Linked DNA regions of Diceros bicornis minor. The protein of the gene in region 1 interacts with the protein of each later gene in a pairwise test. Links are inferred from orthologs where the notes say so. Each region holds a gene or a part of one and is shown in the gene's direction. Other genes may lie near its edges. The genes, in order: CLEC7A and BNIP3L.

Region 1 (16,296 bases):
AGGCTTACAGCAATTGTAAGGCCCTGAGCCTAACAACCTGCCACGCTGGGGGTCTACTCAGTTAAAAGAAATACTGCAACACAAATGTGGTATTAGAACTTACAGCCAACAGTGCTGGGGCTCCCCACACCTGATAAAGAGACGGAAGGGCCCACAACAACTACAAGCAGCTGAGCATAACAACAGCTGGCCAGGAGCATAACTCAGCCTCCCTGGGTGCCTATAGGGAGAGCTAACAGGCCACAATAGAAGGACACACGTAGCCCACATAGGGGTCACCCCTGGAACATTAAGAACTGAGGGAAGCACACTGGAAGCCTCATAAGGCATCACTTACATAAGGTCACCTATCCAAGAGCAGGAGACGTAGCTGACATACCTAATACGTAGAAACAAGCACAGGGAAAGAGGCAAAATGAGGAGGCAAAAGAATACATTCCAAGTAAGGGAACAGAACAAAACCCCAGAAAAGGAACTAAGTGAAACAGAAATGAGCAACCTACCTGACAGAGAGTTCAAACTAAGAGTGTTAAGGATGCTCACTGATCTGGGGAGAAGAATAGATGAACTCAGTGAGAATCACTGAGAGAGTCAACAAAGAAATGGAAGATATAAAAAAGAACCAATCAGAAATGACAAATACAATACTGGAAATGAAAAATTCATTAGAGGGACTCAAAAGCAGAGTAGAGGATACAGAAGAATGGATCTGTGAGCTAGAAGAAAGACTAGAAGAAATTACCCAAGGTGAACAGGTAAAAGAGAAAAGAATTAAAAAGAGTGAGGACAGTCTAAGGGACCTCTGGGACAACATCAAGCGCACTAACATCCGTGTTATAGGTGTCCCAGAAGGAGAAGAGCGAGACAAGGGGGCAGAGAATCTATTTCAAGAAATAATAGATGAAAACTTCCCAAACCTAAGGAAAGAAACAGACATCCAGGTACAGGAAGCACAGAGAGCCCCAAACAGGATAAACCCAAAGAGGCCCACACCAAGACACATCATAATCAAAATGTCCAGAATTAAAGATAAAGAGAGAATCCTAAAAGCCGCAAGAGAATGTCAAGTTACATATAAAGGAAACCCCATAAGGCTATCAGCTGACTTCTCAGCAGAAACCTTACAGGCTAGAAGAGAATGGCACGATATATTTAAAGTGCTAAAAGGAAAAAACTTACAGCCAAGAATACTCTACCCAGCAAGGTTATCATTCAAAATGGAAGGAGAGATCAAAAATTTCCCAGATAAGCAAAAATTAAAGGAATGTGTCACCAAGAAACCAGTGCTACAAGAGATGTTAAAGGGACTGATTTAAGGGGAAAAGAGAAGACCATAAATAGGAAAAATTATTTATTTCCATGATTAGAACGTAATGGATAAAAATGTAAAAAAAACAGGTTAGATATGATATCAAAAACATAAAAGGAGGGAGGAGGGGAGTTAAAGAGTACAGCTTTCAGACAGAGGTCAAACTAAAGTGACCATCAATTCTGTATAGAAGAAGTAAGGAACAGAGAAGGACTACTAAAACACTGAGAAAAAAAAAAAGTTAAAAAATGGCAGTAAGTACATACTTATCAATAGCTACTTTAAACGTCAATGGACTAAATGCTCCAATTAAAAGGCATAGGGTGGCTGACTGGATAAAAAAACAAGACCCATATATATGCTGCATACAAGAGACACACTTCAGACCTAAAGACACTCACAAACTGAAAGTGAAGGGATGGAAAAAGATACTCCACGCAAATGGCAATGAAAAGAAAGCTGGGGTAGCAGTACTCATATCAGACAAAATAGACTTTAAAACAAAAACTGTAAAAAGAGACAAAGAAGGGCATTACATAATGATCAAGGGAACAATCCAACAAGAGGATATAACACTTGTAAATATCTATGCACCCAATGTAGGTGCACCTAAATATATAAAGCAATTATTAACAGACATAAAAACAGAAATAGACAGTAACACAATAATAGTAGGGGACTTTAACACTCCACTTACACCGACGGATAGATCATCCAAACAGAAGATCAATAAGGAAACATTGGCCTTAAACGACACACTAGAACAGATGGACCTAGTAGATATATACAGAGCATTCCATCCAAAAACCGAAGAATACACGTTCTTTTCAAATGCACATGGGACATTCTCCATGATTGATCACATATTAGGCCACAAAACAAGTCTCCATAAATTTAAGAAGATTGAAATAATACCAAGCATCTTTTCTGACCACAACGGTATGAAACTAGAAATCAACTATAGGAAGAAAATCAGAAAAGCCACAAATACATGGAGATTAAACAAAATGCTACTGAACAACAACTGGGTTAACGAAGAAATCAAAGAAGAAATCAAAAAATACCTGGAGACAAATGAAAATGAAAATACGACATGCCAGAATTTATGGGATACAGCAAAAGCAGTTCTAAGAGGGAAGTTTATAGCGATACAGGCCTATCTCAACAAACAAGAAAAATCTCAAATAAACAATCTAACAATGCACCTAAAGGAACTGGAAAAAGAAGAACAAACAAAGCCCAAAATCAGTAGAAGAAGGGAAATAATAAAAATCAGAGCAGAAATAAATGAAATAGAGACTAAAAAAACAATAGAAAAAATTAATAAAACCAAGAGCTGGTTCTTTGAAAAGATCAACAAAATAGACAAACCTTTAGCTAGACTCACCAAGAAAAAAAGAGAGAAGGCACAAATAAGTAAAATCAGAAATGAAAGAGGAGAGGTTACAACAGACACCTCAGAAATACAAAAGATTATAAGAGAATACTATGAAAAGCTATATGCCAACCAATTCGACAATCTGGAAGAAATGGATAAGTTCTTAGAATCATACAACCTTCCAAAACTGGATCAAGAAGAAGTAGAGAATTTGAATAAACCAATCACCAGTAAGGAGATCGAAACAGTAATCAAAAACCTCCCCAAAAATAAAAGTCCAGGACCAGACGGCTTCCCTGGTGAATTCTACCAAATGTTCAAAGAAGACTTAATACCTATCCTTCTCAAACTCTTCCAAAAAATTGAGGAGGGGGGGAAGCTCCCTAACTCATTCTACGAAGCTGATATTACCCTGATACCAAAACCAGACAAGGACAACACACAAAAAAAAGAAAATTACAGACCAATATCACTGATGAACATCGATGCGAAAATCCTCAACAAAATACTAGCAAATCACATACAACAATACATTAAAAAGATTATACACCATGATCAAGTGGGATTTATTCCAGGTATGCAGGGATGGTTTAACATTCGCAAATCAATCAACGTAATACACCACATTAATAAAATGAAGAACAAAAATCACATGATCATCTCAATAGATGCAGAGAAAGCATTTGACAAGATCCAGCATCCATTTATGATAAAAACTCTGAATAAAATGGGTATAGAAGGAAAGTACCTCAACATAATAAAGACCATATATGAGAAACCCACAGCTAATATCATCCTCAATGGTGAAAAACTGAAAGCTATCCCTCTAAGAACAGGAACCAGACAAGGATGCCCACTGTCACCACTCCTATTTAACATAGTATTGGAAGTCCTAGCCAGAGCAATCAGGCAAGAGAAAGAAATAAAAGGGATCCAAATTGGAAAGGAAGAAGTGAAACTGTCACTATTTGCAGATGACATGATTTTATATACAGAAAACCCTAAAGAATCCACCAGAAAACTTTTAGAAGTAATAAACGAATATGGTAAAGTTGCAGGATACAAAATCAACATACAAAAATGAATTGCATTTCTGTACACTAACAACGAAGTAGCAGAAAGAGAAATTAAGAGTACCATCCCATTTACAATTGCAACAAAAAGAATAAAATACCTAGGAATAAACTTAACCAAAGAGGTGAAAGATCTGTACACCGAAAACTATAAAACATTTCTGAAAGAAATTGAAGAAGACACAAAGAAATGGAAAGATATTCCGTGCTCTTGGATTGGAAGAATTAACATAGTTAAGATGTCCATACTTCCTAAAGCCATCTATAGATTCAATGCAATCCCTATCAAAGTTCCAACAACATTTTTCACAGAAATAGAACAAAGAATCCTAAAATTTATATGGAGCAACAAAAGACCCCGAATAGCTAAAGGAATCCTGAGAAAAAAGAACAAAGCTGGAGGTATCACACTCCCTGATTTCAAAATATACTACAAAGCTATAGTAACCAAAACAGCATGGTACTGGCACAAAAACAGACACACAGATCAATGGAATAGAATCGAAAGCCCAGAAATAAACCCACACATCTATGGACAGCTAATCTTTGACAAAGGAGCCAAGAACATACAATGGGGAAAAGAAAGTCTCTTCAACAAATGGTGTTGGGAAAACTGGATAGCCACATGCAAAAAAATGAAAGTAGACCCTTACCTTACACCATGCACAAAAATTAACTCCAAATGGATTAAAGACTTGAATGTAAGACCTGAAACTATGAAACTTCTAGAAGAAAACATAGGCAGTAAGCTCTTCCACATCGGTCTTAGCAACATCTTTTCAAACACCACATCTGACTGGGCAAGAGAAACAATAGAAAAAATACACAAATGGGACTACATCAAACTAAAAATCTTCTGCACAGCAAAGGAAACCATCAACAAAACGAAAAGACAACCTAACAATTGGGAGAAGATATTTGCAAACCATACATCTGATAAGGGCTTAATCTCCAAAATATATAAAGAACTCATGCATCTCAACAACAAAAAAACTACCAACCCAATTAAAAAATGGGCAAAAGACCTGAACAGACATTTCTCCAAAGAAGATATACAGATGGCCAACAGACACATGAAAAGATGTTCAACATCACTAACTATCAGGGAAATGCAAATCAAAACTACAATGAGATATCACCTCACGCCCGTCAGAATGGCTATAATTAACAAGACAGGAAACAATATGTGTTGGAGAGGATGTGGAGAAAAGGGAACTCTCATACACTGCTGGTGGGAGTGCAAACTGGTGCAGCCACTATGGAAAACAGTATGGAGATTCCTCAAAAAATCAAGGATAGAACTACCATATGATCCAGCTATTCCACTGCTGGGTATTTATCCAAAGAACTTGAAAACACCAATTTGCAAAGGTACAAGCACCCCTGTGTTCATTGCATCGTTAGTCACAATAGCCAAGACTTGGAAGCAACCTAAGTGCCCATCAAGGGACGAATGGATAAAGAAGATGTGGTATATATACACAATGGAATACTACTCAGCCATAAGAAACGATGAAATCCAGGCATTTGTGACAACATGGATGGACATTGAGGGTATAATGCAAAGTGAAATAAGTCAGAGGGAGAAGGTCAAATACCGTATGATTTCCTTCATTAAGTAGTAGATAATAACAACAATAAACAAACACATAGGGACAGAGATTGGATTGGTGGTTACCAGAGGGGAAGGGGGGAGGGAGGAGGGTGAAAGGGATAATTTGGTACATGTGTGTGGTGATGGGTTGTAATTAGTATTTTAGTGGTGAACATGATGTAGTCCATGCAGAAATAGAAGTACAATGATGTACACCTGAAATTTTTACAATGTTATAAACCAATAAAAAAAAAAAGAGTAAAAAAAAAAAAAAAGAATACCACTTACTCAGTTTTCCTTATTTGTAACGACTCATTATGGAATATTTCTGTGTTTAAAGTGTAGATTTAAAATAAACATTGATAGCATTGCACAGTGATTATAAAGTCAAATAAACAGAACTTGAGCTACTTCAATGGTCCTTCTATGTGACCATTTGTAATTATTATTTGTATTTATACAATTTTTCAATTTGCAGAGACATTTGACAGCTTCTAAAATTGATCCTGAAGAAATAAAGACATGGGCAATATTGTAATTTCTGGAATAATTGTGAAATAGGATTTTTTAAATCTTTGCCACACATATGCTATGTATACATCTTTTTCCTATTTACCTATTTGTGGCTTCAGTGAAAGAAACTTTTCAGAATTAAAATGAACAAAAAGTGGTCTTCAATCAATAATGAGCAAAGATAAATTGATGACTCTGGGTACACTATCTAATCAATGTGAACATGTGAAAAAGATTACTTTTGACAATGTCATTGGCAAATTTTGAGAAAGTAAGGGTCCAAAACAAAAATTGTAATATTATTATTTATTATGGTGACATACCTATATAAGGGTATAAATTCTTTCTCCCTTTCCAAAAAATATGTTAATATGATTGAAAATATTTTATCCATATAATTAAAAGTAGTTTGTATGATAATATTTATTTTATGTCAATGCACACATTTATATGCACTTTTATTTTTACTGGTCTGATTTTATATATCAAGTTGAATAAAAACTATTCACTACCTATATTTGTTTTCTGGCCGTTATTACCATTTATTCCATTTCATGATTATTACTGAATATTATTTTTTTATATAGAAGAGAGTGAAGTAAAAAAGAAAAAATGAGGGGCCTGCCCAGTGGCGTAGTGAAGTTCATGCGTTCCACTTCCATTGGCCCGGGGTTCGCCAGTTTGGATCCTGGGCGCCGACCTACTCACCGTTCATCAAGCCATGCAGAGGTGGCGGCCCACATAGAAGAACTAGAGAGACCTACAACTAGGATATACAACTATGTATTGGGGCTTTGGGGAGAAAAAAGAAAAAGAGGGAGATTGGCAACAGATGTTAGCTCAGGGCCAATCATCCTCAAAAAAAAAAAAAAAGAAAGAATGAACTGCTCCAGGTGTTGAATATGCGGGATACACCACGGTTCAAGGAACTCAAGGAGTCATGAGGAACAGAGTTATAAGCATCTAACAATAAGAAAATACCACATAAATATCATCTCTTCCTTGAGAAGAATGGGAAGTTTTAAATACAAGTGCCATATGAGACTGATGTTTACGTGCACTATATACATTCTCTCCTCAGTAAAACAGTAGAAGAGGGGCTCAAAGGAGGAGGGATAGTAGAGGTTATATGTGGTATGTGGACAACGTAGCAAACTGGAACCAGGAAACCACTGGAACAGTAGGGTAGCTGGAGCATAAACAGAATCAGAGAAGAGAAGGTGGATGGGGAAAAGATGGTGAGGGGCACATTTTCACTATGAAGTATCTATTGATTATAAAGAGAGCCTTTGGTTTAATCAAAAATTTTTAGACACTCTAAGAAAGGACTCAATATCAATTACTTCATTTGTAGAAAGCATAAAAATAACACTGAAAGGGTGCTGTGAATAAAGCTAAGTAATTTTCGTGGTGTGCCCAAACCAGGGGATACATACATAAATGATTTAAGTAAATTTTTTTGTCTGTATCCTCCAAATATGATGTGGAACCAATCAGGGTGGGGATTGGGCCTCATGCTTCCTTGTATCTAGGCTTCTGAGAAGATGGTAAATGTTCAGTAGATATTTAATTGCTTAACGGATAGATAGAGGAAGGAAGCAAGGGAGGGAGGAAGGAAGGAGACTCAAGTTAGCATTCAAATTGGAGGTGAAATTTGATCAGCCCTGAGCTAACATCCATGCCAATCCTCCTTTTTTTTTTTTTTTTTGCTGAGGAAGACTGGCCCTGGGCTAACATCCATGCCCATCTTCCTCCACTTTTATATGGGATGCCGCCACAGCATGGCCTAACAAGTGCATTGGTGCACACCCGGGATCCGAACCCAGGCCGCCAGCAGCAGAGCACACACACTTAACTGCTACTTCACGGGGCTGGCCCCTGATGATTTTTTTTTTTTTTGAAACTTATAAACATTAATGGGGACGGTACTTTGGAATGTTGGTATCCTGAAGACTTACATTTTTTTTTCTACAATGGTTCTTAAGTGAATACTTAGTTTGTTTTTAATAATCTTGTTTTCTATTTAATTAATTTATTCATTTATTTCTATAAGTTTGTATATTTATTCATTTCTCTTTATTCATTTATTTGTATAAATTTTCCAAAAAGTCACATTGGATATATGCCTCAGGCTCTCTTGTGTTTCTTTTTGCTGGTCTAACACTCTTTCTAGTGCATCTATCAAAATAGATATTTATTTGGGAAGAATTTTATTTTTTGAGATTTAATTCTGAAAGCAAATACTACTGTTAACAACAGCTTAATATTTGTAGAAATAAGAGCATGACCAGGCTAATTTAGCTATTCTGAATGCAGTTCTTTCGATTGTTTTATTGACATTATATTCAATCTGACTCAGATTCAATTAATTGTAGTTTTAGTTTATAAAATGTGTTTTTCACTTCTAAGAACTCTTCTCAGATTCCTCATTTTTCTTTGAGGAAAAAACTTGCTGTATGGATGCAATTTTTCATCAAATTTTCACTGAGAATATGAATTAGATAATTGTTGTTTACTGGGTTTTGTTTGTTTTGTTTAGGTTGGTTTGTTTTTCACCTGTTTCTTACATTAATGTTTAACCAGGGGTAGTTTTCTGTGAATACTTAGACTGTCTGTCTCCAACCCTCCCCTGCCCCTTGAAATGCTAAGGGACTTTTTTTCCTAGTTTATCCATAATTTGTGTAATCGCTGTTCAATTGTTTTAGTCTCAGACAAAAAGAGAAGACTAAAGTTTACATTTATTGAAAAAATTTCAAGAGCCAATTGTTCTTGTAGGATTGTGATTAAATAGAGGAAAGTAGTCATAAAAAATAAAGTTATTACGTCAAGTTCTCTCATTGGAAAGTCTGAATTGACAGTAAAAAGCCAGCCTCTTTTTATTGCCTGGAAGGTGCTCTTCTCATTGTTGTTCTCTAGTTTTGTTTAGTAGGCTCACTTCTTCCTTGAGCCAATTTATTCACTCTGTGAAAAATCCCCTGCTTTCCAACTATCCTCTGCTTTCCGAGGGCTGCATTATAGAAGTGAAAGCTGATGAACTGATGGATGTTGAGATTAGATCCACCTTACTACTTTGCAACGTGTCTACAAAAAGTTAGTAAAACTTTTGTGGCAGCCTGGGTAAGACGTAGAAACTCACTTATTTTCCATTGCACTCTCTTCCATTTGGACATGTTGTTAGTGAGAACTGCAGAACTCTCGGCGTATAACACCTCCGTCCAAACCTCTGCACTAAGAGACGTGACAAACTCCGGCATGGCTTCTAACAGCTTAAGGCTGAGTCCCTAGCGTCACCCCAGACCCCCGTAAAATGCCTACTTCAGAAAGCTCAATGCTTCCAGGAGAATTTACTGTTTGTTCTAGTCAAAACTTGGTGATAGACAGATAGGCAGGTCCCTGGAGCCCCTCTTAGAGCAGTTACTTTAGAAAGCTTGCAATTATAGATCCTTTCTCTGCCCTTTGAGATGTAAATCTACCACCCAAAACAGTTTCTTCAGGACCTGAGAGCCATCTCTTTGAAATGCAACCATTCAGGGAGTTAGGGACTTTTACTCTCTGTGGGAAGATAGGGGCTTAACTTCAGAGGGGGCCACCATCCTTCAACATGCACCATTGCCTCCTGTCATAAAAGCAGAAGTTCATTTCTCTTCTGGAGAGGCACCAATTAACAAATTCAGATGGCCCAGTCACACGGATTAACCCCCCTTAATACCACTCAGTGCCTTTCCCTTCGCATACTCCAGCCTTTAAAAAGTCTCCAGTCTTTGTTTTGGGGAAGTTGGGTCAGTTCATGCTGGGCTCTCTTGTCTGTTGTAATAGTATTACTGAAGGAAATCTGTCTTGACCGCTTTAATGAGTGTCTGGCGTGGTCTATCTTTGACAACAGTCAGATGTCTCCTTCATGCTACTTGCTTCAAAGACTTGTAAACAGGTTGGATACCTCTGTAGTTTCCAGCAGTGGTAAGTGTTTTCCGTATCTCATTAATTTGGACATTACTATGGAAATTGGAAGAGAGGAAAAAAATCAAACATTTAGCATAATATTTCAGTGCAAGAATCCTCCATAACTTCTTACTTGCAATATAAGTGTATGGAATGGTGAAGGAGGCAGTGTAGCATAACAGAAAAGATCATGAGTTTTGCAGCGAGTAGACTTTGACTTGATTCCTTTCTTCAATATTCTTATTAGCTTCTTAAAATTGAGCAAGGGACTAAAATTTCTATGTCTCATTTTCTTCATTTGAAAATAAGAATAATACCTCCCACATAGACTTGTTGGAAAACTGAGATTGAATGAGAAAACATGTGTAATGGGTAGTACTTAGCTCATAGTAATTGTTCAATAAATAATTTACCACTTCATGTTAATCTCTGACAAATCCCAAAGAGATTTGTTTCCTCTCTCTGTTGTTACAACAGTGCACCTCCTTATGGCATCCTTCATATACCTATCTGTAGGTTTCCTGTTATTAGACAAAGAGCTTCTTCACAGGTATCATTTATCCTTGTATCCCCAGCTCCCGCCAATTGAAAAGATGGGCATTCTGAAAATGTTTACTGAACAAGCGACTACACGAATAAGTGAATTAATGTATAGTTATAGCGAAGTATTGGTGAACTCGAGGTATCAAAATTGTTTAATAGTTTATATAGACCAAGTCAATTAATGATGTCAAATTCAGTTGTGAGAATAATGAAAGCAGCATAAGACATTAGTCTCTTCATTTTTCTCACATTTTGTCTGAAACAAAGATCTATCCATTGTGCTGCCTTATTATTTTTTTAAGAGTCATTAGTCTCAGAAACAGGATCTAAAGATACAAATGGGAAATTGCTATGGCAGAGTTTTCGTTTCCTGCTTTTGGATAGCTGGTTGGACAACTTAAGCTCTTGTTCAACCTCAGTAAATACCTCTCCCACATGATTTGACTCATAGATCCTCTTTTGTCCACAGGCAGTTGTCTTAGGAGAAGAGAGAAAAGAGCTCTCAAATGCTGTGTCAACTCGGGAACCCAGGAGAACAATGGAATACCACTCTGAGTTAGAAAATGTGGATGAAGATGGATATACTCAATTAGACTTCAGCTCTCAAGGCATCGCCAGGAGACGTGTGGTCTCAGAGAAAGGTATTTTTTCTTTCTGCCTTCAGCATTCTTATTCTCATCAACTAAAACCCATAAGGGGAGAAAATATGAGAGACTTGTGATTTGTAGGGCTTTTATTAATATGTTTTAAAAGGTTTTCAGAAGTCATTGAAGATAATTTGAATGTAACTAAGCCTTTTCTCTTGGCAATCATTCAGTGACTAATAACTAGTATGTAAATTAATTATTCTGATGGCAGAAAATACAATTTCTCTGCTCTGTAGAAACAGACACTTCAGCAGTAAGGACCTGTAATAAGTGTGATGAAATGCAGAGATGAAAGAATTTCAACAGGAGTGGCTTGTTGTTGTTTGATAGAGAGGAGTAAATTGTAGAATGGAGGTCGAGGAAACTTAAATAAGTGTATATGAACAACATCAGGATATTGGAGAGAAGAATGAAAAGATGGGGGCTGGCCAGGTGGCATAGTGGTTACAGTTGATGCACTCCTCTTCGGTGGCCCAGGGTTTGCCGGTTCGGATCCTGGGCGTGGACTTATACAATGCTCATCAAGCCAAGCTGAGGCAGCATCCCACATAGAAGAAATAGAAGGACCTACAGGGGCCGGCCAGGTGGTGCAAGTGGTTAGGTGTGGCGCTCCGCTGAGGCAGCCCGGGGTTCGCAGGTTTGGATCCCGGGCATGCGCCGACGCACCGCTTGTCAAGCCATGCTGTGGTGGCATCCCATATAAAGTAGAGGAAGATTGGCATGGATGTTAGCCAAGGGCCAGTCTTCCTCAGCAAAAAGAGAGGAGGATTGGCAGATGTTAGCTCAGGGTCTATCTTCCTCACAAAAAAAAATCAAAGAAGGACCTACAACTAGGATGTACAACTGTGTACTGGGGCTTTGGCGAGAGAAAAAAAAAGAGGAAGATTGGCAACAGATGTTAGCTCATGGCCAATCTTCCTCAAAAAAAAAAAAAAAGGTTCCAGGATGCCATCTACGAATTAAAAAAAAAAAAAAGAATGAAAAGTTGGAAGATAGGTGAGGGAAAAAAGCAAACTTTTTTTGTGATAAAGGCCAAAAGGAAGTCAGAAGTCATAGAGTTTAGAATCCTGAATCTGATATGATTTTTATGGTAAGAAATGAATTTGGATTTTTTTAAACAAAAGGAAGTTCTATGTACACCGGTGAAAGAAAATATATATTAGATGAAAAGATCCCATTAGCAGGGCAAGAGTCTTAAACAAAATATAAAAGGCGTGAAAAATGGAGAAGGGCATTAAAAGATCTCTCTTTTAGAGAATGAGAGGTTTAGTCCCCTCTGTGATTCTTCTATTTGACAATGTTCTGAAATGCTCCTACTGCTTATTCTCAGTCAAAGGCAGAGCTATGTTCTTGCTATGGTGATGTTGACATAAAAGGAATTCTCTGTTATCAAGAGAGAGATTGCTACAGGTTTTGACATCAGAATTTGTTCTCTTCTTCTTTCCTGTAAAATCACATTGCACAATTATTTTCCTTTTGCCACTTATGAATTCTTTTCTTGCGCAATCTGTTGGGGAATAGTGAAGATACTGGATGATGCAAGAGGTAGGGAGGTGTGTGTGTTTATGCATATGTGTGAACAAACAGTGAGTTACCTACAATGTGCTCATAATCTCTAAACTAGGTGCTTTTATGTGTGTTAGCTCATTTAATACCCACAATAATCCTTTGAGGTATTATTACTCCAATTTTTCACAAAGAGAAATGAAAAAACAGGAAGTAATTTGCCCAAGGCAACACATGAGTGAAAAGGGAAGATTACCCTTAGTAACCAGTGCTATTTCCCCTACGTTAAGCTGTCTGTTCTAAGAATGAGTAAGATTTCAGGATCCTGGTAGTGTCAAGACCTATAAATATTAATGTGGATCTAAAATTAGGCGTGCATAGATATCACAGCACTGTGCTCAAATTACAGTTGCAGAACCTGAAGAAGTATGCTAAAGCTGGGGAAAAATTCAGACTAACTCTACATGACTAGATTCTCCAGGAATCAGTGATTAATGGTTCACTTTAGAATTTGCCAGATTTTGATGAACTGTAGAATTAAAGTGCTCCATGATCCCTCATTCTATTTCTTCCTTCAATTTCTGCTCCCTCTGGCTCCTCAGGAACCTGTGCTGCATCTCCTCGTTGGTGTCCCATTGCTGTGACTTTGGGAATCCTATGTTTGGTAATACTGGTGATAGCTGTGGTCCTGGGTACCATGGGTGAGTATTGGTGGGGGATATTAACAATAACAGATATTTAATAAGCATTTATAATGTGCCAGGCACTCTTTTAAAAGCTTGACATGCATAATCTAATTTAATCTCATTATTAACCCTATTGAATTGGTACTATTAATTCTCATTTTATTTATAAGGGATGTGAGAGTCTGGAAGGTTATTTTGTTTTTCTAGAGTCATAGACTAGTTAGTGGTGAGATCATGATTGCAAATTCAGGTGAATGATCTAAAAAAACTCATACTCTTAACTACATGGTTCTACTACCCTCCTTGAATAGCTGGTTTCAAAGCTGTGGAATTCCCAGGATAAATTAATGGAAGGAAACCAGTGGAGGTAAAAAAGGAAGTACAATATGGTGCTTATCTTCCTAATGAAATAAATTCTCTAAAGAAACTACAAGCTATTTTTATGAGTCTCCTGATTTAAGGAAATTGTTTTATACCTGATCTTTAGTCTAATCTCCTTTGGATATATCAGCAATTACCTGAGGCACTTACTAAGTACTAAGTAGATGTTTTGTGATGGATGAACAAACATTAGATTTTAAATCACATGCATTGTATTGTCAATAAAGTATTATTGTGCCTTCAGAGAGTCTTCATTAGATTCCTTAATTAGTCAGATGTTTATTGAGTACATTTATGTTATAGGTACTGGGCGAGTTCTCAAGGAGCTCTCATTTTCAACTGGAAGGAAGATAGCTTTATTACCATTTCAAATCTATCATGGCTCCAATTGACTCTTTCATTTACTTCTTGCTTTCTCCCTCAAAATCTTTCTTCTCTACGTACTTCATTTTTCTCTTTTTTACTACACCTCCTTCATGGCAGTTATTTCTTTCCATCTATGTAACCCGTCAATCTATCTATCTATCTGTCTATCTCTATCTTTACTTCTCCATTAGCAACGTATTATCTATTTATCATTAATCAACAATGTATCCCTTTATATTCCAAGAAAAATATGGGATTTGGGATTTTAGTTTTCAAACATAGTAGAATGACTTTTTTTTCCCTGTCATTATTATGGTTGTTGGTATCTGAAGCTTTTTGGAGATCCAATTCAGGGAGCAAACCATTGAAGAGCAACAACTTTCCATCAAGAAATAGAGAGAACCACAGTCAATCTACACAATCATCTTTAGAAGAGAACGTGGCTCCTACCAAGACTATCACAACTGCAGGCAAGGGCAGAGTTAAAGGATTAATAGAATTCTTGATTCAAAAGGGATAATTCTTGGTGCTAAGACCTGGAGCAGAGGGAATGAAGACAGTACTTTTACATGCAGTGATTGTGCATTCAAGGAAGGCACACAGTAGTATTATCTCAGTATAATACGCACCTGTCTTATATACAATAAAGTGGTATCATAAACACCCCATGCACTTGGCTGAACAGTTCTAAGTTTTTGTTTTTGTTTTTTCAAATCAGTAACTAATTTATCACTGGATAAGTGTTTAGGCCTAAAGGAGATTGTATAATTGGTGTGAAGGAGAGAAATGTGTTCTCTCCCCTTAGGGAGTTGACATTTTAAAGTGATATAATTAGAGTAGCAAACAGGACATCAGAAAGGAAGGAAGAGAGAGAAAAAGGAAAGAAGGGAAAATGGTGCTAAGAATTGAGGCTAAATTAAACACATACAAAAGAGATAGACCTAATAGATGTATTCCTGAAAACTCTAGTTAAATTTGTTTTTCTTTAATCATACAATTTCATTACAATTTTACATACTCTTGGTCTTTATTTCTAACTGCCTCATAATTGACTATGACAATATTTTGACTTCAATTTTCTATCTTTGGACCCATACCTCATCACTATTGGTATCAAGTAGCTAATAATACAAAACAGAGATACTCTATAATGTGAATAATTGCTCTTTTACTTTTCTCATTTGGAAAGTTGCATTCTGAAATGGATCTCACACCTGTAAATTAATTACTTCAATGTCTACTTCAATGATTGATTTTGAGTTAATTCATTTTAAAAGTTATGACTGAGAAAGGGAGTTCTAGACTGAATTTGAAGGAAAGGAAAACAAGTCAAGAAGGAAAGGAGAATTGACTGTCTAAAACACTGTTTATAGTTACTTGATTAATTTTTTTAATTTTAAATGAAGGGGAGGATTTTAAGGTGGTCTCCTCTGTAATATTATATCCCTATAATTTGAATTGAAAATAAAGTATATTATTAGCAATTCATTGATTATTTAGTAAGTGTCCTCAGGATGAATGGTGCTCGCAGTGAAAGAGTGAATTGTTATGATATGAACCTCATTATACTTATCTTTTATTTCCAGGAGTTCTTTCCAGCTCTTGTCCCTCTAACTGGATCATACATGAGAACAGCTGTTATCTATTTAGCACATCATTAAGTTCCTGGAATATAAGTAAAAGGCAATGCTCTCTACTGGGTTCTAATCTCCTGAATATAGACAGCTCAGAAGAATTAGTAAGTGTAGACTTCAATTATAACTATCTGTGGTCTATATTGAGCAGAAAAATAGAGGTAGATTCCAGGTAATGATAATTTTCCCTAAGAGAAAGTCCTTTTTAATATTCTCCATAGTTATAATAGCATGCACTAAGTGGGTAAGGTATATAATATGTTTTTCTTTTTAATTAATTAATTTAAAAAATAAGCACATTTCACTTTAAAACAAATCTTTTCAAACAGATTCAAGTTTGCATGACTATGATAATCAGACCACTACTCATTTTTGTGGGTTTGGATTTCAATTTTTAAATTTGGTGGACTAAAATAGAAAATTCTCCTCTTTGTCATCATAATTATCAAGAAAAATAGCAGCAATTTTAATATACATTTATAAATCCTTTACTCCTTGCAAGCTACTGGGAAAGGCAAAGAGGTTTAAAAACTAAACTTGCTATTATGATGCTCATATAATTTGTAAGAAAAAAATAAACAATTCAAAAGCTGTTAAAAGTTGAATATCTGGTATTGGCAACAAATGCAATAGGAATTCAAAGAGAGATCTCTCTTGACACAAAAAGCATTACGGAAAAAGTGAGACTTACAATGCATCATGAACGAGGGATAGAACTGAGATGGGC
Region 2 (16,431 bases), on another chromosome or scaffold:
ACAACAGCTGATTTCTCATTAGAAACCACGGAGGCAAGAAGACAGTAGGATAACATTTAAAGTGCTGAAAGAAAAACTATCAACCAAGAATTCTATATCTGGCAAAACTATCCTTCAAAAATGAAGACTGAATTAAGACATTCCCAGTTAAACAAAAGCTGAGAGAGTTCATTGCTAGTACACTTGCAGTTCAAGAAATGCTAAAGGAATCCTTCAGGGGGAAATGAAATGATATTAGACAGTAACTCAAAAACTTAAGAAGAAATAAAGAACTCTGGTAAAGATAAGTACACAGGTAAACATAAAACTAGTGTTGTGATTTTGGTCTGTAACTCTTCTTTTTGTTTCCTATAAGATTTAAAAGACTAATGCATAAAACAATAATTATAAATCTAGGTTAATGTGCATACAATGAATAAAGATATAATTTGTGACAATAACTACATAAAGGGGAGTGGAGCTATATAGGAACAGAGTTTTTGTATGTTAGTGAAGCTATATTGGTATCAATTCCAACCACATTGTTATAAATTTAGGAGGTTAAATGCAATCGCCATGGTAACCACTGAGAAAATATTTGAAAATACACAAAAAAGGAAATGAGAAGAGAGCCAAAACTGTACACTGCAAAAAAAGTCAATTTAATGAAAAGCAGTAGTATTGGAAGAAATGAGGGGAATAAAGGTATGATATACAGAAATAATTAGCAAAATGGCAGAAGTGAGTCCTTGCTTACCAGTAATTACTTTAATTATAAATGGATTATACTGTCCAATCAACAGGTAGAGATTGGAAAAACAGGTTTAAAAATTTTCATCCAAGTATATGCTGTCTACAAGAGACTCACTTTAGATCCAAAGACAGAAATATGTTGAAAGTGAAAGGATGAAAAAATATATTCCATATAAATAGTAACCTAAATAGGGCTGGGGTGGCTATACTAGTACTAGACAAAATAGTCTTTAATTAAAAAATTGATACAAGAAACAAAATAGGTCATTATATATTGATAAAAGGGTCAATTCATCTATAAAATATAACAATTAAAAACATATCCACCAAAAAACTAGAGCCCCCAAATATATGAAGCAAACTTGGAGAGAATTGAAGGGAGAAATAGAAGTTTCCACAATAATAGCTGGAGGGTTCAATACTCTCACTTTTAATAATTTATAGAACATATAGGCCAAAGATCAATAGGGAAATAGAAGACTTGAACAACAGTATAAACAGTATAAACCAATAACAGACATATATAGAACACTACACCCATCAACAGCAGAATATATATTCTTCTCAAGTGCAAATGGAACATTCTCTAGGATAGACCATATGTTAGGCCACAAAACTAGCCTCAATACATTTAGAAAGACTGAAATCATGCAAAATATCTTCTCTGACCACAAGAGAACGAAGCTGGAAATCAATAACAGAATGAAAACTGGAAAATTTGCTAATATGTATGGATTAAACAATACATTCTTAAATAACCAGTGGGTTAAAGAAGAAATTGCAAAGAAAATTATAGAATACTCTGATGGGCATGAAAACAGAACCTAACATTCCAAAACTTATGGGATGCAGCCAAAATAGTACTCAGAGGAAAATTTACTACTGTAAATGCCTATATCAAAAAAGACCTCAAGCCCATAACCTAACTTTATGACTTAGGAAACTGGAAAAAGAAGACCAAGCTATACCAAAAGCTAGCAGAAGGAACTAAATAATAAAGGTTAGAGCAGAGATAAACATAATAGACAAATAGTAAAACAACAGAAAGAATCAATGAAACCAAAAGTTGGTTCCTTGAAAAAATCAACAGAATTGACAAACCTTTAGTTAGACTAACTAAGAAAAAGAGAAGAATCAAAAAATTAAAATTAGAAATGAATTTCTGGGGACATTATTAACAACAAAACAGAAATAAGAAGAATTATAAGATATACTGTGAACAATTATATGCCAACAAGTTACAAAACCCAGATGAAAAGAATGAATTCTTGAAAGACACAAATTACCAAAACCCACTCAAGAAGAAATAGAAAATTCAAGTAGACCTACAACAAGAATAGAGATTGAATCAGTAATCAAAAACCTCTCAATATGAAAAGCCCAGGATCAGAAGGCCTCACTGGTGAATTCTACCAAATATTTAGAGAGGAATTAACATCTTCTCAAACTCTTCCAAACAATGGTAGAAGGCAATTTCTACTTCCTAACTCATTGTATGAAGTCAATATTACCCTGACACCAACAACTGACAAAGACACCACAATAAAACTACAGACGAACATCCTTTATGAATACAGATGCAAAAATCCTTAACAAAATACTAGCAAACTGAATCCTATAGCATATTAAAAGGATTATACACCATGACCAAGTGAGATTTACCCCAGCAATGCAAGGGAAGTTCAACATAAGAAAATTAATCAATGTAACTGATAGAATGAAGGAAAAAACCCACATGATCACTCAATTGACACAAAAAACACATTTGACAAAATTTATCTTTTCATAATAAAAACACTCAGAAAACTGGGAATAGAATTGAAATTTCTCAACATGATAAAGGGCATTTATGAAAAATCCATAGTAAACATCATACTCAATGGTGAAAGACTGAAAGCTTTTCCTCTAAGATCAGTAAGACAAGGATGCCTGCTTTCACTACTGCTATTCAACATTGTACTGGAAGTTCTAGCTAGAGCAATTAGGCAAGAAAAAGAAATGAAATGCGTCCAATTAGAAAGGAAGACATAAAGCTATCTGTATTTTCACATGACATGATCTTATACATAGAAAATCCCAAAGAATTAAAAAAAAAAAAACTACTAGAGCTAATAAACAAATTCAGCCAAATTTCAGGGTACAAGATCAGCACAAAAATCAGTTGTCTCTATATAATAGCAAAGAACAATCTGAAAAGGAAATTTAAAAAATAACTAATTTACAACTGCATACACATGAATACCTAGGAATAAATTTAATAAAGGAGATGAAAAACTTGTACACTGAAAAATATAAAACACTGCTGAAAGAAATTAAAGAATATCTAAATAAATGGAAAGACATCCCATCTTCATGGATTAAAAGACAATCTTGTTAAAATGCTAATACTACCCAAAGCAGTCTACGTGTTCAATGCAATTGTATCAAATTTCTAGAAAAAAACAGAGTAGAAAATCTTTGTGACATTGAATTAGGCACAGATTTCTTAGATATGACATCAAAAGCACAATCCATAAAAGAACAAATTAATAAATTGGACTTATCAAAATTGAAAACTGTTCTTCAAAAGACACTGTTAAGAGAAACAAAAGACAGGTACGTGTAGTGGGGGAAAAATCTTTGTAGAGGCACGTGCCTGATAAAAGATTTGTACTGAGAATATATAAAGAAATCTCATAACTCAAAAATAAGAAAACAATTCAATTTAAAAAATGTGTAAAAGTTTGAACAGACACTTCACCAAATAAGATATATGGATGACAAGCACATGGAAAGCTGCTCAGCAGCCTTATCATGAGAGAAATGTAAATTAACCCACAATGAAACAATACTGCACACTACGAATCAATGAAGCTAAATTAAAATTAACACAGTACCAGGCACTAACAAGATTGTTGAGGAACCAGAACTTTCACACACTGTTGGTGGAAAGGTATAGCCACTTTGGAAAATATTTAGGCAGTTTCTCAAAATGTTAAACATACTCCTACCATATGATCCATCTATTTTCCTCCTGGGTATTTACTCAAGAGAAAAGGAAATATATGTCCATACAAGGATTTGTACATAAATGTTCATAGCAGCCATATTTGAAATAGCCCCCAATTGGAAACAATGCAAATGTCCATCAATGCATAAATGGAGAAACAAATCATGGTATATCCATTCAAAGGAATGCTACTTAGCAATAAAAAGCAATGACCTGTTGATATACACAACAATGTAAACGAATCTCAAAATAATTATATTGAGTGAAAGAAGCCAAAACAAAAAAAGTAATGTATGATTCCATTTATATAAAACTCTGTACAATGCAAATTATGGTAACAGAAAGCAGATCATTGATCACTCGGGAGTGAAAGGAAGGGAAGGGCATTAGGCGGCTGGCCCGATGGTGTAGTGGTTAAGTTCTCATGCTCCGCTCCCATGGCCCAGGGTGCGCAGGTTCAGATCCTGGGTGCGGACCTATGCACCACCCATCAAGCCATGCTGTGGCGGTGTCCCACGTACAAAAAAAGTAGAGGAAGATGGGCACAGATGTTAGCTCAGGGACAGTCTTCCTCAAGCAAAAAGAGGAAGATTGGCAACAGATGTTGGCTCAGGGCCACTCTTCCTCACCCCCCTCCAAAAAAAAAATTAATTAAAAAATATTAAAAAAAATAAAAAAGGCACTAGGGAAATGTTGGGGATGATGTATATGTTTACCGTCTTGATTGTGGTGATGGTTTCACAGTGTATATGTAAGTCCAAAGATATCAAATTATGTACTTATAAATATGTAATTTGTTGTATGTCAATTACTGTGCAAAAAAATTGTTTTAAGAAAAAAATCTGCAGCCAACAGGTCAATCTTTTAGAAGATGCATTACCTTAGGAAATACTATCATCAGGTGGAACACTTCAGCTAGCCAGAGATAATTGTACAAATTGTGGCACTAGGACCCATAATGAGCTGTGAATCTATAACTACAGAACAGAAACTAAAACAAACATGGGGATTATGCTAACGACTATTGTAGATTATATTATTGTTCCCAATTCTTTATCCTCCTGGAATGCACTCCCTTTGCAATGTGACTTTGCCGTTGGCTATCTGACTTGCTTTGGCCAATGGAATGTGCATGGAAATGATAGTTACAGAGCTGCATCTGCTCATTTTTCTTGAGTTTCTTTCGTCATCGTGAGAGGAACATGCCCTGGCCAACCCATGGTCCAAGGAGGATGACAGACAGGGGAGCTGAGCTGGACCAACCCTAACCTTGGAACCAAATCCACCTGAGCTGAGTCTATATTAACTATCTTTCAATTGCACGAGAGAGAATAAATGTTTCTTGTTTAAGCCAGAGAGTTTGGAGTGTTTTATGACACAGCATGATTATGGCAATATCTATAGGGCACATATACTACGATGTATAAACTCTAATAATATTGAAATGAATAATTAACAAAAGTAAGTAGTGGTGGGGAAAAGGGAGAAAAGTAAGAGATAGGGCAAGTATGCTACCTTATTTCTACTTGTCAAACTTTATCATATTAAGTTGATAAATCAAGTGATCGATGTACAACTATATCTAAAACTACAACGGTATTAAGGTAGAATATGGTTAACTAAAAAATGGGTAGTAGAGAGAAACATAGAAGAAGAGGAATTATACTAATTTCATTATGGTTCCTTTCTGGGCATTAAAGAAACTGTCTAAAGAAATGGAGGACTAAAGGAATTATATAAATATATAGCTATAAAGGGAAATCATTAAACAAAAATAAAAATTTCTAAGTCATAAGATGAAATATATTATAAAACAAATAGGTCCATAGTGAAAAATATTTTAAGAGATTAAATGGAAAGCATGATATAAAATAACACTATTAAATCCAAATACATTTATATTATCAATAAATATAAATGTGTTAAACTATCCTATTAAAAGAAGAAAAATTCTGATTAGGTCCTAAAGCAAAGACTACTTTTTGAGTTATAAGTGACACACCTAATAGAAAGTGATTCAGAAAGGTGGAAAATTAAAAGGAGGGGTGCATCAAGATGTTGCAACTAAACAAAAACAACAACAATAATAAAAACCAGCATCATGATTTTAATAACACACAAGGTTGAACTGAGGACAAAATTTTAACCACTTCACAGTGATAAAGAGGCAGTTACGAATATTTGTGCATCACATAATGAAGCATCGACTATAGTGAAAGGAGATAGAAGAAACAGAAACATACTAGGAGTGGGAAATATTAATTGACCTCTTGGAATTGATGACACATAAAGAGGGGAAAAATACAAAATTTTAAATGACATTATTATTAAGGTAGTTCTAATAAATACATCACACCTGATACCTTGAACACAGAAACTACACCTTCTTTTCAAATACTCATGGAACATTCCCCAAAAGGAACCACATATTAGGCCCTAAAGAAAACCTAAGAAAAAACTCCAAACTAGAAATAGTGCAAAAACACACTCTGACCAGGGAGAAATTCTTAAATACCCAAATAATTAAAGAAAGAATGAAATAAGCATCAAATGAGGAGTGGTGACTAATGAGTACAGGGTTTCTCTTAGGGGTGACAAAAGTGTTCCAAAATTAGACTGTGGTGAGGGTTACACAACTATGTGAATAGGATAAAAACACTGAATTGTGAACTTTAAATGGATTAATTGTATAGTATATGAATTATATCTCAGTTAAGCTGTTAAAAAAAGGGTTAAGAATACAATTAGGAAGAAGCAATTAGATTTTAAAAAGGCCCTAAAATAGATAAACCATTAGGTAATACAATCAAGAAAAAATAGAGGACAAATAACACAACATTAGAAATAAAGGTGACATCCTGTAGAAACAGAGCTAATCCCCCTAAAAACACTAGGTCCAGATGTTTCCTTAGGAGAATTCTAACAAATCCTTAAAGAAAAGTAATTTCAATGTCATCTACGTAAGACCATAGAAAAGGGAACTTTCTAATTATTTTTTACAAAATGAGCATGATTGTACCAAAACTCACAAAAGATCAAAACATGTTGAAGACATTTTTGAAGAAGTACTTTTTTTTAATTAAGAAAAATAGAATGGGAAAACAATTTTGTAAATATGTGAATTATCCCCCCCAATTAATTTATTAATTGAATACATTTATGACCAAAATCTTAAAAGAATCTGCAATGAGATTTGACAAATCAATCCTTTAAAAAAACTTTTTAGTATGAAATTTTTCAAGCACATTAAAAAATTGGAAGAATAGTTTAATGTATCCATCACATTACAGTTAATGTAGCCATCATTACCTTCAATAATTACCAACACATGGTCAATCTTAGACAAGTCAAATTTTAAGTTCATCTTAAAAGTAATTAAACAGTCATGAAAATTTTTAAAACGATAAATGAGGAGAAACTTTCTCTAATAGTTATCAAACAGAGCTATTGTAGAAAGGCCTGAAATAGACTCGGCTTTTTGTGGGAATTTAGAATGTGATAAAGGTGCAATTTCAAATCAGCATGGAAAGGAAGTCTTAAAAATTAATAAATATTGTTGGGTCAATTAACTACTCAATTAGGAAGAAATGAAGTTAATTTACAACATATCGAAACTAAATTTCAGATGGATTAAATATAAAAATTAAACTTAGTAAAATCAGAAAAGTTATAGGGAATAGATTCATAACCTTGGTGTGAGCGTATTCCCAAGCCATACAAAAATTATAGATTTGATTACACGAAAATTTTAAACGTCTGCAGAGCGAAACAAAGTTAAAAGACAAGTGACAGTCTGAGAGAAATATATGCCACATATAAATCAGACCAAGGAAACTGGACAAAGATATGGATACATGAAGTAGGTGTAGTGTTTAAGCACAAAAAGTAGTTTCGTGCTGCCCACATATAGGAAACATGGCTTCTCGTGTTATGTCCCAGAAATAAATTAGGTGATGGTATTTGGGTGATTATTTTCTTCTCTATCTTTTCCTAAAATTTTCCAATTTTTACAATGATCTCGAGTTACATTTGTAATTAAAATCTTTGAAATTCCTTAACAACAACAAAGTCTGGCCTGCCTTATGTTGTTCCCTGTTTGGAGTGTTAATGTTCCACCAGCTTTGCTTTAGTTTATGGCGGGGAAGGCAGCAGGGTTTTTGCTTCCTTTGTGTCACCATGATACCTATTACAGAAGTGAGTCCTTACAGACATTAAACAAGAAGTGCTCACGGATTGGCTAAAACAATGCTGACCCTGTAGGTGTGGAATATTTTGTTGTCAACACATGAGCACCTTACACTTCCTCATTACACACTTCTCCCTAGCCTCTAAGCCCAGTTCCAGCCGCATAACTCACTTTATCAGACCAGTACAAATAACACGCAAGAACTCATTCCTGGCGCGCGCGTCAGCGTGACTCTCGCGTCTCCACGTCCGGAGCCGGCCTGGGAACGCCCGCGCCCCGCCCCGCAGCTTGTTGTGTTGTCATCACGTGGCTGGGGCGGGCCCTGACGTCAGGGGCAGGGGAGGGACTGCGCAGGCGCAGAAAAGGGGGCGGGGGACTCGGCTTGTTGTGTTGCTGCCCGAGAACCAGAGACGGTCCTGCTGCGGCCGCAGCTCTTCCAGCCGCCCGACAATGTCGTCTCATTTAGTAGAGCAGCCGCCGCCCCTGCACAACAACAACAACAACTGCGAGGACGGTGAACAGTCTCTGCCCCCGCCAGCCGGCCTCAACAGTGAGTGCGGGCCGGCGGGCTCCGTGAAGGGGATGGGGGAGGAGGAGCTGCTGTGGCCGCCGCTGCCAGCTCCGCGCGCGGGGCGGGAGGAGAAGGCAGCCCATTGGTCCAGGCCGAGAATGTGAGGGTGACTGACAGCTCCCGTTACCTGTCAGGAGGAGTGCTCTTGTCTTCCTTTTGACCTGTCTCCCCTTCCTCCCGGGGTTTTGGGTGAGGGGCTGCTGGGGTTAGGTGTCGGGGAGGGCAGGTGGGTGGGAAGAGAATGGGGACGAGCCGATCCCACCTGTGGTGGGCCCCTGAGCGGAGCCAATCGGGGCGTGGAGGGGCGGGCCTCAGGCGCGGGGAGGGAGGGTGGGCGGAGCGGGCGGCCGAGGGGACGTGGGCAGGGATGGGGACGTGCGGCGGGGACGCCGGGGGATGGACGCGGCCGGCCGGCCCAGGGGAGGGGGCGCCCGAGGGATGGCGGGCGGTCAGGTGTGCGACGGGGCGTGGGCCGGCCCCGCTGACCCCACCTCCCTGGTCGGCCTTCCCTTAGGGCTCGAATGTGAGCCCTCTTGTCGCGGGCCTTTGTTACCGCGGGCTGGTCAGGAAAATCATTTGGTAATTTAGTGGTTACTTGTATCACAGAGAGGTGGGGTGAGGAGCCTATGCTACCCTTTTTTTTTTTTTTTGAGATTTTTCAGAGTTACTCAAGTGTCTTTTTTTTTTTTCTTTTTGTTTTTGAAGCGATGGGGTTATGTGCCCTGTAAAACTGTTTATGAACAGCCTCTTGAGCCATCCAAGATTGCACAAATCACGGAGTCTGGGGCAATGAATTTTCAGAAACAGGGATTAAAAAGACACACACACGGGCGATTGAAAGTTACTGGGCAATATTGAGTTGCGGTCAGCTACAGTTGCTTTTCAGAACATTCTGATGCCCAGACATCTTGTGCTAAGGTGGTCCCTGTTGTCTTTAGAGCTCGGAGTCTTTTTGAATACGTTCTTGCCTAACCATTCTGTAATTCATCTCATGAAAGAGGTAGTTGGGACAGTTACCATATGGCTAGATGAAATCGTTTAAAAATCATTTGGGTGCTTAAATGACGTTTAAAGGCATTGCTATGTATTTCATCAGAGGGAGGTGTTGCAGCATGGCCTAAAGATTATTTTAGGGAAGAGAGTTCCTGTCCTCACAAGATAGGGATAGAATTAGAGTATTTTAAGATGTTATCATTGCTTATTGCTGTTGCTCCATCTTTTGGTGGATAAATTTCTTAAATGTTGACTTTTTAAAACTTTTGTCTATTTTATGTTCTAGAATGTAAGATTTATATATTATTTCCCGCAGTAAATTAGGATTAATTTATGTCTTTGAATGTTATTTGCTTCACATATTAATATGCATTTTTAAATTATTTACCCCTTTTTAGCATACTCTTCAGAAGCATGGGATTTTAGAATGGGAGGAGACTTGAGAGAGAACTCGCCCGTGTTATTTACCCGTCTAAAGTGTGCTGTCCAGATTCACAGCAGGCTGGCACCTAGAGCTGAGGTTTTTACTTTTACCAGACCTAGTGCTCCTTTCAGGACACTTCAGTGGCCTAGAATCCCCTGGTTGTGTGGGTTTCTTGTTCTCTCAGCATGTTATTCCACCTAATGTACAGAGGTGACCTGCCTATCTCTTTTTAATATACCGTTTTTTAATTGTACCCAAGTGTTTTCCTATGATACTTGTGTAAGTTGGGTGTTTGGTTACCTGTGTGTACATTTCACAGAAAGCAGAGGAATTTTAATTTTCCTTTGACCATTTAACAAAAAAATGAGGTTGAGCTATATGTGATTGTTTGACTCTGAGTCTCACAGCCCTTTGAAGTATTTGATGTCCTTGGCCAATCAGTAGCTGCTGCGTGTATAACAGCTCTTACAGAAGTGGAAGAACACTCAGCCTGTGTGGGATATCAAAATGTTGCTTTGGGAAATCTGCTAGATAGAAAGTGTTGTATTTGGGGTAGGGTGAGCTTTTAAAAGTGACTGAAAAGCTTTTATTTAGTGCCATATTTCATTCCTCGCCTTTTGCCTTTTACTGGTTTTTTTTTTTTTTTAGCTCATTATACAACACTGGACTGAACAAAACAAGAAGGCTTATTGATTCCTTCAAGTGATTTTTGAGTGCGGAGCAAAACAACTTATTCAGGCATCTAATACTATCCTAATTGCTGATAAGTTGAAGTTCTTTGTTGGGTAAAGTTGCACAACTAAGAAAAACAGGAGATGAACTCATTGTACAGATTATCCTTGGCTTGGGATTTTATCTTTAGTTCAGAGGTCAAAGCAGAGTTTTAATAGCAAATTATTGAAATATGTGGAATAATGAAACCTTTCTCTGATTTTTTTTTTTTTAGTTTAGCATTGTAGGAGGACTGTACACTTTCATTACAAATTAGTGGACAAATATCTGAACTACTTCCAAAGTTAAAAGGATATTTTCCAGTTTCCAGTTGTTAGTTTTATTCCTGAGAAAACTATCAAGTTACTTAAGAATATTTGTTTTGGACATTTATGTCTTAAAATTCAGTCAGTAATATAAGGAAAATCATGGCAGTAGAATTTTGTTATTGTTTATTGTAGGAAGAACAGCCTTTTATTTTCTTTTTAAACATCTTCGACCATGGTATACTTGCTTCCCCAGTGTGGCAAGAAGGCTTTTAAGGCTATGACATGTGAAACTTCACTGCCTTGTGATACTGTTTTGAATACAAAAGTAACTGGTGTGTAAGTACCTACTTGTGCAAAAGGACAAACTTTGTTTTTAGAAGAATGTCAATGACAGTTCTTGATCTGGATTCAATCTTCAGGAACTTGAATAAAATAAAGGCTTTGAGGAAAGAAGATAAGACATAATGAAATGTGTTACCCCTGGTTAGGATAAGAGTTACATGTGGGACCTTGAAAAGTTGGGGAAAAAATCAGCAATACTCTTTCTCCTTTTCTCCCCTCCCCCACCCCCTAGCTGTCCCACTCCCCTTTTTGCAAGAGCATTGAACTGGTGATTATAAAACTATCAAGAGTATGTACAACATACAGTCATGAATGTAATCACAATTATTGTACCAGCCTTCATGATGCGTACTATATTAGAGAATGTAGAAGCATGCTTCTCCGAATCTCTTAACAGTTCTCAGACTTAAACTGGAAAATATCTCTTGTATTGTGTATGTGTACAGTCTGGCATAAGAGAACAGTTTTTGGTGTGTAAGTAGTCTTTTAACAAAATAGAGCCTCCAATTTTTCGTTTTAAAGCTTTTTAGGAAGAAAGTTCACTCAGCTTTTTTTCAACTTTGTATTTCTTGGACAGCACAATCCTCATATCTTGCGTTGTTTCCTTTTCAAGTAAAAAGCGACATTGTGAGAATTGGTAGAGTTAGAACATCAAGAAAGTCTGAGGCTGTAAATCAGGAATGAACGAGGTGATGAGAAAAAGGCATGTGTAGTTCATCTGTAGTGGAAGACAAGCCTGCTTTTTTCCATTTTACTCAAAAGATAAAGCGAATATGTAACCCCTTAATGAATATCTGTCCTAACTTTCCCTGCAGCACTGTTTATTCCCTTAGATGATATTTCTGGAAGAGAATTATTGAGTTAAAGGAAATCTACCTTTTTAAGGTTCTTAATACATATTGCTAAATTACCCTCTAGAATGTGCAGGGAAGCCCTGGTTGTAATAACAAAATATTAGAAACACTCCTGTGGGTAATGATTAACCACTGCCATTTGGATGATGGGTAAAGTGTGGTGTATCTTTATGATGGGATACAATGCAGCTGTCCAGAAGACTGAAGTAAGGCAGTACGTGTGGACATTGAAGGACATCTACAAGCTGTTAAGGAAGAAACACTGTTTACAGAAAAATATGTACAATATGATTCCATTTTTTTTTTTTTTGGAAAATGAAAGCAAAACAATTATATTTCATTGAAAAACTCTGCAAGTCTAAATGTGAAACTTAACAGTGGTTTCCTTTGGGAGTAGATGTGGGAGGTTGAGAGCAGAGGTGTTAAAAACATCTTTACTGATGTATACATTCTCAAGGAATACAGTAATTTTGCAATAAGAAATGTTTTTTAAAAGATACAGAGTATAATTATAATAGTGATAACACCCAGCACTTAGCATGTACTAGAGACTTTGTGTACTTTTCTATGTGCTTTATTCATCTCCTCCTCCAAACAATGCTATGAGGTAGATAAATTTTTTTTTCTTATGTGAAGGGAACAGTATTTTTTTTACTGAGATATAATGGACATGGAATATTATATTAGTTTCAGGTGTGCAGCATAATGATTTGATTTTATATGTATTGCAAAATGATCACCACGATAAGTCTAGTTAACATCCGTCACCACACATAGTTACAAATTTTGTTTTCTTGTGATGAGAACTTTTAAGATCTGCTCTCTTAGCACCTTTCAAATTTACAATACATTATTGTTAACTATAGTTGCTGTAGTTTGCTGTACATTACGTCCCCAGGACTTATGTATCTTATGACTGGAAGTTTGTACCTTTTGACCACCTTCAGGTAGAAATAGTTATTATCCCTATTTTAGAGATGAGAAAATTGAGACACAAAGAGGTTAAGGAACTTGTCTAGGGTGTAACAGCTGTAAATGATAGACTGGGAGTCCAGCTTCAGCCTGTGCTCTTAATCAGTGCACTAATACACGCCAAATAAATGTTGTCTGCCTGGAGTAGAAATCCCTTTGGTTCTGCTATAGGGTGTTAAAGCAATTATAGAGATCACTTTTGCTAAGCTTTTCTATGTATGTCTCCTCAAGTTCCTAGATTCTGATTGCTAACATATTTTTAATGCAGAAAGTAGGATTTAGATATTGGTTTGGAAGTCCTTCAAAAAAGGAAGGTCCAGAAAACCTGATATTGTTACAGCCTTTTTCTGTTTGATCAGCTACTTCAAGGGAACATTAATTATATTTTAGGGAAGCCTGGCTTCCTCAGAGACCCATCTGGAGCTCCTGGTTCCTTAGTTCTGCTTCTGCCGGAGCAGCTCTTGCCTTTGGCTTGTTTTTGTTTATGGCACACATTGGCCTTCTGTACCAGAAAACTGGTCACGTTAGTTTAATATAAGTTTGACAATCCTAGAAACAGTGGGAGTAGAGAAAAACGGTTTGGATATATCTCTCTCTTTCTCTGTCTCTCTTTCCAATTAGAATATTTTGCAGAGCTTCAAATTTAGGGATGCTTTTACTATATTTCTTATACACTCCAGAGGCGCTCCAAATATTTAGTCAAATTACCTGCAGTATTAGATCTGTCTTAGCTTTGTTGAATTTGTTAATCCAGTATGAGTTCTATCTAGTCTTTCCATTTTGTGTAGCTAGAATGAGACCACGGAGATATCATACAACTATGTTGTTTGGCAGTGTAGTCCCAAAGAACTGGTGGTGACTGTGAGGCTGTGACAACCACTGGGACTACCTTAGAGGGAAAGGGAGGGAAGGGTAATTTCGTTTTTATTTAGCAAACATTGTTCTGAGTACTTTACAAATACAAACTCTTAACTAGTGATAATTGAGCATCTCCTGTTTACTAGGCACTTTACCTATGTTGCTATGTTTCATCCTCACAGCAACCCTGGGAGGTAGGCATTGTGATATTATGTCTGTTTTACAAATGAGGAAGCTGAAGTTCAGAAAGGCAGACCGACAGATAGCGGTGGAGTCAGATTTCCAACCAGGTTTGCCTTTGAGGTTATCTGGGATAGTCATCACCTCGTTGAGAGAGCATGTTAGGGTTTGAGCCTGTGTGGTGATTATTCTGATTTACTGATGGAGGACTGTTCAGCGACAGAACTCTCTTAACTCTTCTGCTGTGAGTTTAGAGGAATGGCCCCACCAACCTGCTTGGTTACATTTTCTAAAACAAAAATTTGTTGTAAGGAATGGAAATTATGAAAAAAATACACCACTATCTCTATTTGTTATTGAGTTGGTTAATTTGCTACTGTTATCATAAAATTAAAGCACCTTAATGGGTTCAGCGAACTCATTTGGCCAATAAATATTTTGAAGACTTATCCAAATTACTGAGGCCACGTCCCCTTTCCTGTGGCTCCACCCCTTCCACTGTTGGCCTGAGAAAACGTCAGTGTCCCTGTGGCGGGTGCGCAGTTGTTTTTCCCCTCAGACCAACAAGGCTAATGAAAATCCTAGAAAGATAGGAACTCGCGGGAGAGAAAAGACAAGTTGACAAGGTGTGTTTTGTGCTTAGGGAAAGGAGGAAGAATAGAAAGAGTGAGGTATAAAGGAAGAGAAGAAACTACTTTGTGGGACGGAGGTAAAGCTTTCTCAGAATTTTTAGCATCGTCACCTGATTTAGTTAAGAGCCAGCTGCATTAATTTTATGCTCCAGATCTGTACACAAATAGAAATTTTTATGATTGTATTTAAGTTTCCTCTCTAGGAGCTTCTCAATTGTTTGTGCTAATTAAGACATAGTTGTTAACTTAACTTAGGTGACCTTTATGAAGTTTCTAAGCCATATGTTTATTTCATTTGTGGAGAGGATGCAACTAAATAGCTGAGGTAGACTACAGAAAAAAAATATATGTAACTAAAATATTAAAGGTAAGTAACCTGTCTGGTAGTAAAGTAGCTATTTATTTTTTCAAAAGCAACCTGAAAGTTTTCAGTAAAGTGTTTATTGTATCTAAACTAAGCTTTAACCAGAGAGAAAATTGGCTGAAAGACACATTTTCTAAGGTACTAGTTTTAGAGTTGCAGCTTCTTCTAAATTGGTTGATTACGTGAGCTGCTTCAGGAACAGAACTATATACGTTTTTAGACTTTTATTGCTTCTTGTTTATTTTCTTCAGAATACTGTTGCATTTGGTTTGAGTCGAGTCAGAGTTTTTATCAGAACTCACCATATTCACAAGTGTGCATGATAAATTTGGTTGTGCTGTGGCTAACTTAAGTTATCTGACTTGTCCGACAGGTTCCTGGGTGGAGCTACCCATGAACAGCAGCAATGGCAATGATAATGGCAATGGGAAAAATGGGGGGCTAGAGCATGTACCGTCCTCATCTTCCATCCACAATGGAGACATGGAGAAGATTCTTTTGGATGCACAACACGAATCAGGACAGAGTAGTTCAAGGGGCAGTTCTCACTGTGATAGGTAAGTGATATCCACGTTTTGGTAGAATTCAGGAAACAGATGGGTTACGAGGTTAATTCCCATTAGACAATATAAATTGCTTATATCTTCATTTAACAAAATATGACTCCTGATTTATTGCAGCATGTGTGTTTAAATGAGACAGCTAATTGACAAGTACTTGAGTGCCCACTGTTTTTCCCCAGATCAAATCAATTTCCTGATTCAGATTGTATCATTTTTAGATGTTTATCAGTTTAAAAGTCAGTGGCATAGAATTAATGTAACTTTCTCCCATTTTTCTTTGTGTCCCTGTTTCACAGATCACATTCTGCCTTGAGTACAGTTATCTCTGTATATATCTGTCCTCCCTTCTAGATGGTGAGGCTCCAGAAGGCAGCGGTCATGTTTCGTCTCCTTTGTACCCTTGACAGCAGTGCTGCTGGCACGTAGTAGACACTAGTAATCGTTTGAGTCACAGGAACTGCAAGTTGATTCAAATTATAGCAGTATTTGCGCAGAGGCAGCACCAACCAGGTCTATAAACCTGTAAAGATAGTTAACTTTGAAGGCCATTCTGTTTTCTCAGAGGAAGTTTTATTTCAGACCTCGTTTTTCTGTATTTGACTTGGGGAAACTAATTCCACTGATTAAGGGCTGCTTATGGTGAAAGAGTGAGAATACAGAGATAAGTGCAAATAGAATGAAACCAAATTGTTAGTTTATTTTTTAGTGCAAGCTTTTCTTTTTTTCCGAGAGACTAGGTATAAAATGATACAGTGGTATATTTAACAATTCTTAGACCGCTGACAGCCGTA

What was found.
Region 2: the proteins of CLEC7A (region 1) and BNIP3L interact in binary tests that used the Homo sapiens proteins (3 or more experiments, as listed by UniProt). The two-hybrid records come from large-scale screens. The link is inferred for Diceros bicornis minor from reciprocal best matches to the Homo sapiens genes CLEC7A and BNIP3L.

What each region holds. Positions count from the first base shown.
Region 1 is NC_080756.1:52,026,404-52,042,699, forward strand, and holds the start of CLEC7A (C-type lectin domain family 7 member A), read left to right. Parts: upstream 1-9,673; 5' UTR 9,674-9,824; intron 9,825-10,818; 5' UTR 10,819-10,887; coding exon 10,888-10,990; intron 10,991-13,104; coding exon 13,105-13,203; intron 13,204-14,267; coding exon 14,268-14,405; intron 14,406-15,521; coding exon 15,522-15,673; intron 15,674-16,296.
Region 2 is NC_080750.1:67,535,228-67,551,658, reverse strand, and holds the start of BNIP3L (BCL2/adenovirus E1B 19 kDa protein-interacting protein 3-like), read left to right. Parts: upstream 1-8,285; 5' UTR 8,286-8,357; coding exon 8,358-8,457; intron 8,458-15,450; coding exon 15,451-15,634; intron 15,635-16,431.